Linked DNA regions of Caenorhabditis elegans. The protein of the gene in region 2 interacts with the protein of the main gene of each other region in a pairwise test. Each region holds a gene or a part of one and is shown on either strand. Other genes may lie near its edges.

Region 1 (6,789 bases), on a different chromosome or scaffold from region 2:
ACAGTGCTGGTTGTGTTTGATTCGTGGAATCACAGTTGTATTTTCATGTTTAAATAGTCAAAACTGATGTGGCAGTTTTGAGAAGCCCTTACAAAATTTCTTGACAAAATTAAGTTTACAGAGTCGAACATACCAACACAGTCGTACGGATCCAGATGGAAAATCCCGAAAAACACGTTGTTCTAACAGCCAAGTGGTATCCTCGTAATCTTGCTGGAACTCTCTTTGGATACGGCACTCTTAAGATTGTTCCGGCAGATTTAGCAGTTTAACATTTTTAACAATTTGATTTAATTTTTTTGCCATTCGTTATCTCTGAGCTTCCAATTTCACCCATTTCTTCTTTTTTGTTGATAATTTTCAGTTTAATAAAAGTTGATAAACGGTTAGAAGTTCTCGTTTCTTGTGACTGGAATTCAGAAATTTAAGAAATTCCAAACTTTCTTTGAGTTGAGTCTACACCTTTGAAGTATTGCAGGAACACAAGAGGAGGCATTTTTTATTGTGTTTATAAAAGAGTTGAACTTTAAAATTCCCGTATACTATTTCCTTTTATGTTCAGGTACCGGTTTTCTATGACAAATATCAGCAGTTTGTATGGGGTTTTATAGATGTGTGTTCAGATACTTTTGGATATTATAAGTGCAAACGAGTGCAGTACGGCCGGTGAGGAAATGATTAAAAACCATTCCTATGGTGCTAAACATCCACCTGTCGTAACAAAATTTTTTTGTTTAAAGTTTTAAAAATTTTTTATTGACAGGTCATTTTTGAAACAAAATTTTAAAAAAATTTCAAATTTTTTTTGGAAAATTTTACTATGATTTTTGACCATTTTAGCACTATAGGAAAGGTTTACAGAGTTCAGGATCCTGATGATCAAAAACCGCAAAAATATTATTCCTAAAAACGTTTACAGACAATAAAGTCCCGGCTTATGCTCATTTTTGAAGTTTTTGAAGGTAGCCAACAACTTCCGGGTAAACATATTGTTACATAGAACAGGAGTTTTTGTGAAAGTGGAATGTTTAAAATTTTAATGAAAATATTGTTCTAGCTCCCTTTGAATCAATTCATTAGTATTTGTTCAGCAGCAGTGAGACCGAAATCGACAAGTAGTTTTCCATTTCCTGATCAATTTTGAATGGAAAACTTGTAAAATTAATTAGTTTTGAGAACCGCGGGCATTTTTTTTTGGAACAAATGAAATACATCAAAAATTTGACGTAAAAGCAGAAAAACTATATAGATAGAATTGGTTAAAACCGTTTGAATAGAGTTTCAAAATTTTTAGGTATTATTGATTTTGAGTTGTAGTCTAGGTATACTCTAGTCAGGCGAGGTCTGCGTTGTAGGCAGGCAGGTACTTTTTTACCAAGTTGTAAGCTGTAAAAACCTCTAGACAATAAATAAGAATTTCCGATTATTGAAATATTTCAAACAAATTGAAATTTTTCCGACTAGAATTTTAATTCCAAAAAAATGTGTTTCTAGATAATTTTATGGAAAACAATTTTTATATCACAGTTATGTGATTTTCGACCGAAAATTATATCAAACTTTGATCAAAATTTCTTCAAAAATAAAATGAATTGCAAGAACAAAAAGAAAGAAGACCATCGGAAGTCTCATTCTCAATATTATTTCGCACATTAAACCGTCCGTTCTGATGGTTTTATGATCATTGTTTTGGCATTTGGCCGCCCCCCTGGTCTTCTGTGTCTCGTTTCAGGCGGAAAATATTGAATGAAATTGGGGATAGTTATTCGAAATTCATATAATGTTCACTTTCTATTATTATTGTTATCCCGTTTCTTTTTCTGTGTGTACATATATGTTTGTACATTGTGTATCACTTTCACTGTCACCTTATCATATCATCATTTTAAAGATTGTTTTTTTTTGTTGAATATTTGGGTCAGAAATTGATTTCTTTTAATATATGTTTCATTATAACAACCTTTAAAAAATATTTTCAACAATCCTATTTTTCTATTTGTTTCTCATTTTTTTAAAATAAACGTCGATGCAAATTTTATGATTTTTTCAGTCTAAAGTTAAAAATTAACCGAAAAATTTAGAACTCAGGTAGGCACGTAGGGATTTGATGCAGGTCGGGGCACGCTGTATTTAAGTGTAACGTTCTTCGAGAATTTTTTTTTCTTAAATTTGGTCTCAAATTCTTAAAAAAAGTTTAGACTTTTACCGATTCAAATATGTAGTTTTTAATCTGAAAATTACAGAAGTCAAAGTTCCAAACCCTAACCCAAATGCCAATTATAATTTACGAGTTCATGTTCATTTTTTCCTTTAGAAAATCCTTAATAATCCCAAAAAAATCACAAACCCCGCCTTTTTTTTTTCAATTTTCCGTTTCTCCTTTGCCACCCACATTATTCGTTTTGTTCCTCGTTGTTCAATTTTCTCTCTTTTCCCATCATTTTTGTGATCGCCTTTCACAATTGTTTTTGAGTTTGGAAATGTTTTATTTATCATTTTGATAAATGTTAAATATTTCCGAAAATTAATAGCAAAAAAAACTTGAAATTTCCAGATGGTGCTTCTGGATACGGGAACAAAAAATGTGATACGACTATCAGTTTCTTTTATGCTTTTGTTTTTTGCATATATGAGTCAAGAGTTTATACAGGAGCCGTTAATAGAAGAAGAGCACCGAAGAGGAGGAAATATTGATCCTCATGCCGGATATCATAGGTAAGTTGTGAGCAGGCGTCAGCAGGCGTCAGCGGGCGTCAGCGGGAGTCAGCGTACGAGTTTTGTACTGTATGTTTGCTTCAAACGTTGCAAAATCAAAGAAGCAATGTTCATAAACAATTTTTGTGAAACTGCGAAAATCTCAGGGGATAATCTCCAAAACTCACTCACTTTTTTTTTGGTAAAAAAGCAGTTGCAGAAAAATTGTTCTTTTGGTTTTTCTTTTCAATTTTAGTTCAAAGTTCAAACATAATAGGTTCGTGTGTACGTAGGCAGGCATTTTGGCAGGTTTGCCTATCACTTGCCTGCCTACCTACTCGCCTGCCTACTTAAAATATTTTAATACCAAAAAGTTCAATGCAAACATATTTTCAACTCTAGAAATTTGAACATTTGCATAATCTATCGGTCATCTCGTTTTTATAGTAATTGGGAAGTCTACGGTTTTAATCTGATTATCAAAACAATACTAACACCAGAGATCATAACGGGTCACAATTTGTAGAAATATCAACAAGCTCTATGAATAGGGTCAACATGATTTCAAATTGCTTATTTTCAGTTTCGCGATTCTCTACTTCTTCTTCACCATTGCCTGCCTACTGATTGCTCCAGTGGTTGACTTGATAACTGCGAAATGGTCGATGGTTGTTGGATTCTTCACGTACATTGCATTTCAGTTGGGATTTCTTGAATTGAACAGTGCATACCTGTACACCACATCGGCTCTTTTGGGAATTGGAGCAGCTTGTGAGTTTTTTGAAGTTTTGGCTGAAGTACTTTACTTTGGTAGTAAATATCTCGGTTCATTTTGGAGATATCAAAACATTTTCAACTATGGAACTATAGAAAAAGAAATTTTGAATATTTTCTCAGTTGAGAACTTTTTGATATAAAAAAGGAGAATTGAGATATAGGCTGACAAAGAAATTTCAGTCCTTTGGGTTGGTCAAGGAAAGTACCTCACGGAAAATTGCACAAGTGAGACTATCGAACGCAACACTGCTCTAATGTGGCTCATTTTCAAATTCAGGTATGTTTTACTTAGCCTAACATCTAACAAATTATATAATTTCAGCCTCCTAGGCGGCGGGGTCTTCCTTTACTTCATGTTCCAGGATCAAACTATGCACGAGCTGGTGCTAAGTGGAGATGTAAATTTTTCAGTTAAAAATCTATACTGAATATTCAAATTTTAAGTTCAAAATCTTTGTCTACGTGTTCTGTTCCATCTCGGTAGTTGCTGCAGTCAATACTGCATTCCTTCCAGCGCCGGCGTATGTACCAGAGAAGAGGGAAGCAGTTACATTAGCCGGAACATTGAGTTGGTCCAAACTTTTTGAGTTTTACGTTACTTTTACGTTAGTGATTTGCAGAAGTAACATTCCGGTTAATCCGTCAAACTCCGATGCTCCTGCTAGCGTTTATTTTCTTGTACACCGGGTTCTCCAGGTCGTTTTGGATTGGTAGGCAGGCACATAGGCTTCATCTCAAACCTTACAGCAATCTACCCGACCTACTTCATCTCAAACCTTACAGCAATCTACCCGACCTGCATCAAATTCACCTCCAAACTCGGAGAAAACACCACAAAACTTCTAGCAATTAGTGGAATTGCAACCGGGATTGGGCAAATTGTAGCTGGTGGAATATTTTCAGTACTCGGAAAACGTGTCAGAATACTCGGAAAAGATATGATTGTAGTGATTGCTTGTGTACTTCATTTGATATGTTTTGTATTGATTTATCTGTTCTTCCCATATGATGCACCACTACGTCCTACACAGAATGTTGGGATTTTTGAGCCAAAGTTTGTATTTTTTGGGAATTTTTAAGTTGAACAATTATGGATTTTTCAGTGCCTACATTGCAATATTCTGCTCTGGGCTTCTTGGTTTCGGCGATGCAATTATTCAGACTCAAGTCTACTCGTTCCTCTGTGACGGGTACTCTGAAGAATCGTCTCACGCATTTGCTCTATTCAAGTTCTACAGTGTAAGTTTCAACTTGAAGGGTCTGTCTAGGCTCATATATACTAAATTTCAGGCCATATCCTCCACAATAGCTTTCTTCGTATCAAAATACTTTACCTTGGCCGGTCATCTTCTACTTTATGGAGCTTTTGCCATTCTATCAGCCATCGCAGCAGTCATGGCTCAAAAGCTATATTTCCACAAGACACGGCATTTCTTTCAAGGTTTGTTTTATTTTTTGACAACCTAGCGGCTTGCCTACCTATCTGCCTACCTACCTACAGCCTGCCTACAACCTTAATATTTCAGAAAACACAAAAATCCACCCTGCCATCGAATCTGAGCCAATAAAAATTCAAATCAGTGAGAGCGGATCAACGATAGAGTCTTCGGAGAAAACGGAAAGAAAAATTACTGATTTAAATTGATTTTTTTTTGCATTTTCTGAATAATACTTTGACATAATTGATATTAATAAATAATACTCGAAACTTTATCAGACTCCACCTATATTCTGACACTACAACCTGTACGGTGTCTGCAATATTTGACCAATTTTGGAAAAAAATGTTGCTTGTTTCACAAATATGAAATTTTCCACGTAGCGTCCGGAATGTTAATCCCTATTTTTTATACGTTTTTTTACAGTTATGTTCTGTGATTGAGAGTCACGACGCCAAAATAGTTACTTTAACCGTACATATTTCCGCCCTGTGATACTACAAAAAGCGAAACAATTTTTTTAAACAATATTTATTGAATTTTTTCTGACTCTTCAATTAATAACAACACTAATTATTTGATCCGTTCATAGACTTTTCCCATCTGTTTCCATATTTCAACACTATTTTTATCACCAGTATTTTCCAGATACCTTTATTAAAAGTAATAAATAATGTTCAAAACTTTACATCAGACCCCACCCATATTCCAGCACTATATATTGCGTGTCAATTCTCGGCGGACAAAAAAAAATGCAATGTTTAACTAGAAGAACACATTCTTTTGAAACTTCTTTGGTATTACCTTTAGTGTATTTTTTCCTCTTTTCTTCTTTTTTTTCAAGTAAAAAAATTCCACAATTATTGGAGTGTGTAGACTTGAGTAACATTTCTGCTTCACAAGCGACCTACGCCAGCACAAAAAAAAGTAGGCTGCAGCCAGCAACGAAAGGCACGTCGTTGGCAAACAGGCATGATATGTAGGCAGGAAAGCAGGCGTAGGCAGGTAGGCATGGTGTGCCTGTCTAGCCTGAAAATAGAGTCTCCTGGCCTTTTTTCACAATTTTTCAATTTTCTTCCAAAATGTAAACATTTGAACCTTTTGGGGTTCTATGATATGCAAATATTGTCAGTTGTGGGAAACTGTTTGGAATTTACAGTTCAAACAGTTTTGTAACTTTTTTCTGGAATTTTTCTTTCATTCATTGTCAGATTTTTTTCCATAATTTTTTGTCTTAAACGTTCCTAATTGTTTTCCCTTTTGTTCTCCGATTCTTTGAACAATAAAAACATTTTTAAAACCCCATTCAAAAGGAAAAGTTTATATTAAAAAGGTTTCAGTTTTTGTGTGACGTTTAACTTTTCCATTTTATAAAACATTTCAATATCAGGTGCTTGAAATCAAAATGAAGATCTCCACTGAGACCACAAATGTGCTCCGGCTCTCCATCTCCATTGTGATCCTGTTCTCAGCTGTCCTAGCCCATGAATTTATTATGGAACCGCTGATCGCCGCGTTGGCAACAGCTGGACGTGGTGGAATTGAACATCGCGATGGGTATCTGGCACTTTGTTTGATCTACTTTTTCAACACAATTAGCTGCTTTTTTGCTCCATATGTGGTGTCCAAGCTCTCGGGGAAATGGGCGATGGTTGCTGGTATGATGACGATTATTATTGTCCATGTAAGCAGGTTTTTGCAGGCGTAGGCGCATTCTTAAGATGGTTTTCGGTCAGGTAGTACCATCAGGAAGTTCGCCAAATTTTTGATCAGTTTTCTCCAACGAATATGAAAATTACCCAATTGCCTTGTAGAATTGACGCAAATCAACTCGCATTCATTTTTAGTACCCCAGATGAATTTGAGTTTATGATGTCAA
Region 2 (9,785 bases):
CGGAAAAGGGGAAACGTTATTTATGCATTAGTAAATATGTTTCTTGGCCAAAGTGAAGTGAAACATATTTTCTCTTGAATTTAGAGCATAAATTTAAAGTTTGATCTTTTAAAGTGGGATAAGCTCCCGGGCTTGAAGGTGAAATATCGCCAGCCGGGAAAAATTTCCAAACCCTTCACATGCTGCATAAAAAATTTTTCAACAGAAAAAAATTGTTTTAAGTGGAGCAGGGTGTAAAGCAAGCACAAAGTCAGATTTTTAAGCACCAAGCTAAGCTTGACAACAAATATTTTCTACAGTGATGCTCAAAAATTTTCAAAAAGGCTTCATTTCTGGAGAACTTAGCGATTTGCCACAACTGAAAATTTTCCAAAAATCTACGAATTGTTGAAATGTTATTATGATACTCGGGTAAGTTAGACAATTACACGTGTGCTAGAGCTATGAAAAAAAGTTTTAACGCTTTTTACGCTAATACTGAAATTGTGATATTATTTTTTAAAATTAGTTTCAAAAGAACATCTACAAACATTCATTCTTCGCAATTAGCTGTAATAAATAAGTATACACATAACAATAAAAACTGAGTTTGCTGCGGAACGAAAGTGTTCCCATAAAATATATTCAAAAAAAAATAATTTGGTTCAAAATATACAATCACAGAATTGTCTTGATATATTCAACAGCCGACTTGAAGTTGACCCAGTAGTAAGCATCACGTCCCGACTCGATGCGGTCACCGGCAAAGGTTTCAACAAATTGCACGTTAGACAGAAGAGCACGTGGATTCGCCTGGAAATGAAAATTGAAAGCTTCAAGCTAATATCGAAATTTAAAAAAAAGAAGTTCAACTACATAAATGTTTTAACTAGATATATGTATAACTGACAGCTTTTTAGTTATTACTATAGTCTGCAGCGGTGAAGCCTAAATTTTAAATTAAATTTAAAATATTTTCCAAAACAAAAACGAAATTTCAACTGCTTCTCTCACCTTAATAATCACAAAAACTAGAACCGGTGTGAGGTCATCTGCGGATGCGACCGCGTTTTTCGAAGACAACGCCACCAGGTTGTTGATGACGTCACAGCATCGGACCACACAGTTGAGCTTGTCCTGAGCAGTCACATAAATATCCAGCATTGAGAGTTCCGCCTGAGCAGACGGCCAGGGAGCTTCACCGTGGAGGTGCTGCAATTTTTATTGTGTACAATATGTTAGTCAATTTTTTTCAATTCAATAAAAAACAAATAATAAAAAATAAACTTCTGGAATTTTCAAAAAGTCGTTGACCGGCGTGACTACGTCAGAAACTTTGGCGATGGTTCCACGGAGCAACCTGAGAAAATAACATGAATTATTGTTCAAGTTTTGGTTTTCGATTAAAAAAAGGATTAAAGGACGATCCGTTCTTCAAGTGCTATGCACTGCGGATCTGGGATTCAGGTACACTGCCTGGTGGTGATCCCTCTGAGCTGTAATTTAAGCCACGTCCTAGCCGGGGGCTGTGGCCGTTAATCCAGTCGTGGATTGCTCCACTTCCCAATAGAGGCTGGGTGAACCTAGGGGGTGAGGCCAAAATTGAACTCGTGACCTCCAGACTGCTAGCGGCCACCACTACCGACTGAGCTATCTGCCCCCCTCCCTTAATATTAAATAGCAATTTTAAGCTTAAAAGCCACAATTTTTGCACAAAATTTCTGGAGCATGGCTTCAAGAGTAAGCCAAATTTTTCATCACAGTTTCTAGCTATTACACTTGTTGAAAGCTCCCAAGTCTCAAAAAATCCTCACTTGTCTCTGTGATGATCCGCATCTCTATTCGGGTAGAATGCGTTATCATAAACCGCAAAAATCACATAACGCTCGATGGTTGTCATGGCTCGCGACATCATTGTATCCGTGGCAAACTGAAACCATTTATAAATTACTAGCTTCTTTATACTAGCTTCCTTACATTCCAATCCACGTTTTGCATCAAGCGATCCCTCAAAAATGTGAGTAGATTCTTCAAAAACTCGGCACGTTCATCCTGAGCTCGAAGGTATTTGAATTCGTCGTAAAACTTGAGCACGGCCGTCACTTCCTGAGTTTTGCCAACTGTGTGCTTGTTGTTGAAGCCCGTTTCCAGAAAAGTGCGCATGAGGAAATCAACGAGGATTTGCTCGGTGAGCCGGCGGTTTCTAAAATAATGAAAATCGATGAAAATTTACAGATAAAGGAAGGATGCTTACAACAAAACTCTTTGCTCCAACGAAGAGATATCATTCGATTTTCTCATTAGTGAAGCACGTTCCTCACGCATTCCATTTACGATTTTGTCCTGCTCAGCTTCATTCAATTTCAAATGGTCCATGAGGATTTCAACGCTGAAATTTTTAAAGGTCTCATCTACAAATCAATACTGAGGATATGGAATTTGGCTAGTATGAAAAGAGTCTAAGCTTAAGCCTTGACCTAAATCTAAGCCTATGCCAAAGCTTTCGCCTAAGGCTCAGTCTTAGCCGAAGCCTGAGCCTAATCCTAAGCCTAAGCCTAAGCTTAAGCCTGTATGAACCTTCGAAAAATGTCATCCATTATAAAAATGAAGATTGTTTCTATCGCGTATTTCACTGCTTGAAATAATGTTTTTCGAATAGTTTCATTCCCGCTCTTACCCAGCGTGCTCAAAGAGTTCGATGCATCGCTTGACTTCTCTCAACTGAGCCGCAAGCCCGTACTCTCTCCTGTGCTCAGTTTCCACGAGGACTCCATCCAAAAACCTCCCAAGCAGCACTTTCTTGTCCCACTCATTTTGCTTTGTCTCGTTGCGATACCCGATCCTTGGCAAGTAGGAAATGTTCCCGAGAACTGTGATCATTTTTCGAAGGGTGTCTTGAAAAGCCCTGAAACACCATAATCTGGATAATATAGATGAATTAAAAAACTTACCGACAACCAACCAGATTTTCAGACGAATAATACGGCTCCAGTGGCTCTTTTCTCGGAGTCGATGAGGCAGAGGCAGTGCCATCAATTAGATTCCCGAGCGCTGGTTTTTGCTCTTTAATCGATGATATCGACGCGTACTTAGCCAGAATATCGTCACGTGGACCTGTAGCAACGTCTGGTAGGTTTTGCTCACTGCTGCTAGTGGGGATGCCTGACGGAGGTGGTTTTACAAATGATCCCGAACGACGGAGGTGCTCACGGATGTCGGATAGGGTGTTGGATTGTGTGATTCCTAAAACTCTAGCTAATATGTATGTTTGAGAATTCGCGCTGGATGGAACTGAAAGCTAATTGAAAGTGGGAGGACTAAAGTTCATTTTAAAATGTTAAGAATCAGTTTTTCAACCACGTATTTCAGAGGTGCGTGGAATTTCAGCAATCACAGATTGCCGGAAAATGGTAATTTCTTCTAAATGCCGAAATTCTCCAACAGTTCAATTTCTGCGTCCTTTCACTACTCGAACTTTAACTACGCAGGTAATCCGCTCTGCCTGGTACTTCCCAAAAAAATTAGCTCAACTTAGTAAAATAGTAATCTTCTTACCCTTCTTCATCCTATCGCTCAAACTTTTCAGTTTAGCAAGTTTTCCTCGTTGCTCGCCACCAACTCCTTGATCACCAATCTGAAGTTCTTCTGTAGATGTGAGAGGCTCGGGGGACACTGATGTTGAGTCACTGAGATGTTCGCTGTTAGTTTCAGCTGAACCAGACGAAAAGTCAATAAGATTGTTTTCCACTGGAGTCTCCTTCGGTGCTGGAGTTGGCTCCAGAAGCTTCTCCAAATCAGCCAACTGTCTCCTTTCCTCGGCCTTCTTTTTTAGACGATCAGCTTCCGCAACGTCTTTGTAGTTTTTGGGGCTATACTCTAAGTAGAACAAATCAAAGTTCTCTTTTCCAAAAGCTAGTGCTTCTCCCTGTTTTGCTCCGAGCTCATTGATATCGTTGAAAGAGTCACCGGTTCGTTTGAATGAGTGTTGAACTGAAAAAAAGTGTCAGTTATGAAAAAAGTTCCCATTTGGGTGTATACCTTTTCGATGAATATTACGAAGTGTTGATATTTTTGGTGAAGCCTCTAGGTTGTCAAAGTGTGACTTTTGAGTGGTGGAGCTGATTGTGGCGGGAAGCTTGTCGCATACTGATAAAATTCTTGAGAGCTTCGCGTCAGAAGTTGATGGTGCATTACGAATAATTTTAATCTGGAATTGAAATTTAGAAATTTCGCTTTTTTTCTATATTCGAAGACCTCCAGGCTTATCCTACCACCTGGTGAAATTTTGGAGGGTATACAACACTTTAGCTGACTAAGATAGCCATACAGATTTTGGATTTGGGTCTATAGCCTGATATCTTTTGACTTAAGTCTAGTAGCTTTTTTGTCTGAAACCAACATCATCACTGATTTTCCTATCACTGTTTTTTAGCCTATTTCTAAAACTGACGTCCCTCGAGCCTAACACTTTTGGGTCTTGACAATAAGAGCGTTTGTCTAGACTTTCATAAAATTTTGATATTAGGGATGACTCACCAAAACGTTAACATCCGCCACAGTTCCAACAAAACTCGATTTCGTAGCCATATCCGATTCAGCAGTCCCGTTCGCGATAAGCGACGTGATCTCAACGTCGGGAGCAAGTTTCTCCACAAGTAAAGCATCCATCATTTCTGATATGAGATGTGTGTTCTGAAAAGCTTCTAGTTGAGAGCAGTATCAATTCCAAAGACAACTCACCCGACACTGGCTCAAAAACTCTTTGTACTCTTCCGGCGGCGATTCAAACTCCCTCAATGAAATCATTTGGATAATCATCGCGATTTGAACCAAGTTATGGTTTACAATTGTCCCAACTCTGACATCATTATCCACAACTCCAAACTTTTGCGGACTGATGATTGCCGGGCAAATGAGGTTTGAAACAATCATATCCTTGCAAGCATGACTCAGCTCAATAGCTGACACATCATCGACCACCTCGTACAGCGAGCAGAATATGTCTCGAATGATCCAATTCAAATTTGGTGGAAGCATTGGCAGAGCTTTCGAGATATCTAAATGCATTGAAAATTTTATATTTGTTCTGTTTGGCGGAAAACAACTCACTTTCCAGAAAAGTGTCAACAAAATCGACTAGCTTGGAAACAACGAGAGCTCTGTATTCGGGTAGGCGATCCTCATTCTGCTTGTTATCACGTAAGAACCGAGCCGTGGACTGAAAAATATAGACGTATGAAAAGCTCTCTTGAAAGTGAGTTTTTTTCCAGCAGCTAAACCAAAACCAGGTTTTTAAAATTGAAATTGTTTAAACAAATTGTCAAGCCTTTTCAAGCCTACAGAGCTTGAAATGAAACTTTAAGTATTTTGTGGATGACATATACTACACTAACAATTGTTTTAACAGCTAGTAACACTATTTTGGTCAGTGCAATTTTTGAACCGAATTCTGTGGTTACTGTATAAGCTTTTCCACATCCTAGTTTTGGTCAGTGCAGAATCATAAAATTTACCTGTTTTGCATCGATATCCAACCAAAAGCTGCCCAACTGAATAACATCCAAAACCCCTTTCCTCAAAGCTTTTGTTAGATATACCATTGTCGGATGTATTAGTTCTACAAAATGCTTGTAGAATCTCGTTGATATGGAAGTTTCCTTCCGCAGAATTGTCCTCATCTCACTGCCAGATCTGTATAGTTGAAGCTTCAAAAGATTACACACAACTTGTGCAATCTTGAGCTCATCCTCTGGGTACAGAGCGCACGAGTAGACGAGGTGGAAGAGTACTTGAATTGTGGAGTCGTTTGATGTAATCTGGAAATTATAGGTAATGTGTTGAAACAATGGAAAAACTCACATCATTTCTGTCAATGCTATTCAATAGTTCGGCGACCGACTGGGGCTCATTGTACAATATTGTCAGCAATTGGTCAAGAGTGGAAAAGTGATGCCCGACGTGCCTGAATTTTTTAATTTGCATTTTTCCTGTATTGTTATGTTGGCTCGTATGGCATTTTCGGAATAGTGGTCTTTTTAAATTTTCCAGTCATATTTTATGTGAGTTTACGGGCAATATGTTAAAGTGATCATTCTGGTTTTCATGGTTTTAGGCATGAAAATTATTTTGCTCATTTAAGTTTCAGTTATCGAAAATTGTATTAATTAAAAAATTTAGGTTCGTAAATCGACATATCCAATATTTTATGACATGGTGCAACTCGACCGATAATTTCTGTCATTCACTACACTTCATATAAATTCAATTTATTGGCAAAACTCGGAAAATGTCGGTTGCAGCTCAGCTTTTCTTTACTCACTTGTATGCTGGGAGAGCTTCAGTTTCACTAATCTCTTTGAGAAGCCTGCATGCAATTGTTGGCTCGAGTGCCTGGTTTTTGAGCTGACGTCCAACGTTCTGAACAATATTTAGTGGGAATCCTAATCATCAAGAACACTTACATTCCAGTAGGAGCTTCTCCATGCCTCGGTGAGCAACTTAATTTCGTTATCCGATACTTCTTGTTGGTGTCTGTTCAGAGAGTGGAGCTGAAAAATTGAAATTTGTATTTGAAATCACTTTTAAAAACTTCAAAATTCCTACCTCAGCGTCCGTAAGCAATTTTTGATTGCGAATTTTGGTGGCCAACTCATAAAACTCCCGATACTCGTCCTGAGACCGAATCCGCTCGATGATATCGGCCATTTACCTGAAAAAAAAAAAGAAAAATTAAGCAAGAAAATTTATTTAAAATTCAGTTTTCAAAAAAAATCGGTGTAACACAAAAGAAAAGACAAAGAAAAAGAGAGGATGAGTGCGCGGGTCTGCACACCGGTTCACGGTGGCCATGCACACAATGCACCACACTTTACGACACCTCCTCCTAAAGGCAAACGGAGGAGGGACCTTGATTATCGGGAAAATGGTGGCCAAAGATGGTTTATTCACACTGCTATTTGCAATACTAATTGTAAATGTTCAAAGTTGCATTTTGCTAGCAAAAGATAACCATGGAGATATGAAGGTAAATTAGAATAGGAATTGTTACAGAAAAGTCTTAAATAAAACTTAAAATTAACCAAAACCAGGAAAAATGTTCAAAAACATGATTAAATATATCAGAAATATTTTTCAAAGTTGTTGTGAAGTGTTTTAATATACGTTAAATACTTTTAAAAATATTTTTCCACTGGTTTTATTTTTCGTTTACCTTTTTTTAACAATCAGAAGTGTCAAACATTTTATACATTAATGCTCCTTTTTCAAAAAAAAAAAATTTTTAATGCAGTGCTCTATTTTATAGAATTAGACTTTCCAAACTTATTTTTAGTCCTTTTTACTAAATCCTTTGAGAGTACAGCTTAGTTGTCCTCTTTATTGTAATTTTTGACAATAATTTCAACATTAATTTGTTTTAATTTTTCGAAAGGTCCCCGTATAAAATTTACTTGGGCCTATCTACAAAGTAAAGCAATGAAACAGTGCTTCTCGAACTTTCGTGATAATCGAAGTAGAACCACTGCAGTAATAAATCTAGTTAACACTTAGGTGAACGGTTATGGACTTCACAGAGAACTGAAACTACCTGCATTCATTCAAACTCAATCCAGAATTCCTCAATGCCGAATTCTCTACAAAATCGAGATTCCGGAAGGTGTCTATGTTGATGAAAGAGAGTAAGACTATAAACATTTGATTATTTTTAATAGTTTATATAAGTTTCAGGTTACAAAGTGCAAGGTTTGGCTATGATTTTATAGTTTTACCGGTAAAGAAAACCAATTCACAAATGGTAAGCAATGAACATTTTTTAGAAATTTTTTCATTAAAAAATCATACGTTCAGCTCTTTGCCATCAAGAAAAAGCTTTACCTATCAACATTTGAGATGAAGAATCTTCTAAAAATCAAGATACATTTACATCCGCCGAGTAAAGGTTTATTTTTCAATTTTGACTGAAAATTCCCACGGACAAATTTTCAGCTTTCCCAAAGTCTCTAAAATTCCCTGTTCCAACAATTGCTGTAGACTGCAAAGGGGATTTGTTCAAAGGTTGCACAACACTTAAAACTTCTCGTGGTGGGTTTTCTAAAAATTTTTCAGACTTGTAAGTGTTTTTTTTCAGATCTCAGGCTAAAATCAGAATCTCCCAACTGGTTGTCAGTTAAGAGCCCAAGCAGAGCTCCTGTGGAATTGGAAACGTTCCGAGACGAACAACTTTTTGCAGATTTCGGATATGAATCGTGTTTTTTGCTGGTTACTACTTTGCTCACTTCTATGTATTATTTAATAAAATAAAATTTTGGATTATTCAATAAGAAATATTATTTGCAACTGTAATTTCGGTTATGTGTGCACTGACCAATTTTGTGTTGCCACTGACCAGCTTGATGAGCGCAATCACCAATTTTGTGTTTGCAGTGACCAAATCACAAATTTAAAAAATTTTTATAGGGGTTGCAGAGCACAGTTTTTATATGTGCAAGCGTGTTGTCAACCAATTTTTTGGGCACATTTCCAAGACACAATAGATTTGTAAAAAATGTTTGCACCAGCCCAGTCACTACTGAAAAATTTGAATCAAATTTGGGCCACCAAAAATATTAATTTAATTTGATCTGAATCGTCAAAATCTGTAAAACTTGTAGAAGTTGCACAGATTATCAATTATTATGCTCTGAAGCTTACCAAATTTTATAACATCACACTTTTCGCGTCATTTAGAATTATACTGCTTCCCACCATGAGTCACAGGCCAACAACTATGTGAACTTTCCGTAAGTTTTCCGAATGACTCATAAAGTGAGAGCTCCGTGCTTGTTTTGTCTGCTGCTCTATTTGCCAGTGATCCCGTTTTTTGTGAAAAAAGGAGGGGGGGGGGGGGGGGGGGGAAGAGACCGGGTGTGATTTTCAAAAAAAGTGATAGGTTAATGTATGGTAATTCCGTGGTGATCGGGAGTTGGTTGTGATCCGATTACTATAATTTTAATATTTTAAGGGATGACGACTTTGTGGGAACTGATTTTTATTCTGCCTATTTTGCATTTTAGCATTCGTCACTTAATTTTTTTTTTTTGAAATCGAAAACCTTTTTTTATTTTTTGCAACAAAAATAAATATACTTAAAAATTAGAAAAATTTAACCATTACGGATGTACTGTGTATTACGCCCAAATACAGAGTCATTTTATCATCATTATTTTTCTATTGTTCTGTCTTCTTAACATTTTTTTGAGCACAATGACGTAAATGATGTGACATGTAATTCAAATAATTTCCAATCAGTTATTAATACTTTCATTCCTTGTTTGTGTACAATTACAAGTCGAATCACGTTTTGTTTTTTCCCATTCGTCAATTTACTTTCAATAACAACATGGGCTGTATACAATTTGATACATTAATTTTCATAATCCGTAGTTTTTTTTTAACTGTTCAGTTATTTTTCGAACTGTTTTAAATATTCAAATTACACTCACCAAATCTAAATTTGCAATGACCATTTCTAAATTTGCACCGACCAATGTTATATTTGCACTGACCAATTTAAAAATCGCACTGACCAATTCTAAATTTGCACTGATCAATTTTAAATTTGCACTGACCAATTAAAAAATCGCACTGACCAAATCCAAAATTCCACTGACCAATTTTAATGCTGATTAATCACCTTCATGAGTTGCAGTGACCATTAAAAATTGAATTATCCCAATTATGTGTTTTTTTAAATAGTCACCAAAGCTTAAGATTTGATGATGATATCATCGTATGTTTTTTTTAATATCTACCAATAAGATGTTTTCTTT

The links. Proteins that work in one complex are often made in the same cells at the same time.
Region 1: the proteins of rme-6 (region 2) and F31D5.2 interact in a two-hybrid assay, tested with the Caenorhabditis elegans proteins (one large-scale study listed by BioGRID).

What each region holds. Positions count from the first base shown.
Region 1 is NC_003280.10:4,213,064-4,219,852, forward strand, and holds F31D5.2 (UNC93-like protein MFSD11), read left to right. Parts: upstream 1-2,554; coding exon 2,555-2,715; intron 2,716-3,277; coding exon 3,278-3,465; intron 3,466-3,651; coding exon 3,652-3,748; intron 3,749-3,793; coding exon 3,794-3,869; intron 3,870-3,915; coding exon 3,916-4,039; intron 4,040-4,091; coding exon 4,092-4,181; intron 4,182-4,254; coding exon 4,255-4,525; intron 4,526-4,574; coding exon 4,575-4,710; intron 4,711-4,761; coding exon 4,762-4,912; intron 4,913-4,997; coding exon 4,998-5,116; 3' UTR 5,117-5,178; downstream 5,179-6,789. Other genes in the region: F31D5.7 (F-box domain-containing protein), read left to right, coding at 122-272; F31D5.1 (UNC93-like protein MFSD11), read left to right, coding at 6,316-6,594.
Region 2 is NC_003284.9:1,094,055-1,103,839, reverse strand, and holds rme-6 (Receptor-mediated endocytosis protein 6), read right to left. Parts: upstream 6,689-9,785; 5' UTR 6,685-6,688; coding exon 6,583-6,684; intron 6,530-6,582; exon of another isoform or gene 6,528-6,529; coding exon 6,441-6,527; intron 6,397-6,440; coding exon 6,299-6,396; intron 5,942-6,298; coding exon 5,839-5,941; intron 5,796-5,838; coding exon 5,493-5,795; intron 5,198-5,492; coding exon 5,089-5,197; intron 5,037-5,088; coding exon 4,720-5,036; intron 4,672-4,719; coding exon 4,516-4,671; intron 4,187-4,515; coding exon 4,018-4,186; intron 3,970-4,017; coding exon 3,535-3,969; intron 3,223-3,534; coding exon 2,931-3,222; intron 2,885-2,930; coding exon 2,657-2,884; intron 2,369-2,656; coding exon 2,234-2,368; intron 2,183-2,233; coding exon 1,957-2,182; intron 1,910-1,956; coding exon 1,794-1,909; intron 1,340-1,793; coding exon 1,267-1,339; intron 1,192-1,266; coding exon 994-1,191; intron 793-993; coding exon 658-792; 3' UTR 516-657; downstream 1-515. Other genes in the region: pigx-1 (Phosphatidylinositol-glycan biosynthesis class X protein), read left to right, coding at 6,827-7,003, 7,528-7,655, 7,705-7,771, 7,825-7,915, 7,963-8,058, 8,105-8,277. UniProt on the Caenorhabditis elegans protein: Acts both as a GTPase-activating protein (GAP) and a guanine nucleotide exchange factor (GEF), and participates in endocytosis. Acts by regulating the activation of rab-5 by exchanging bound GDP for free GTP at clathrin coated pits.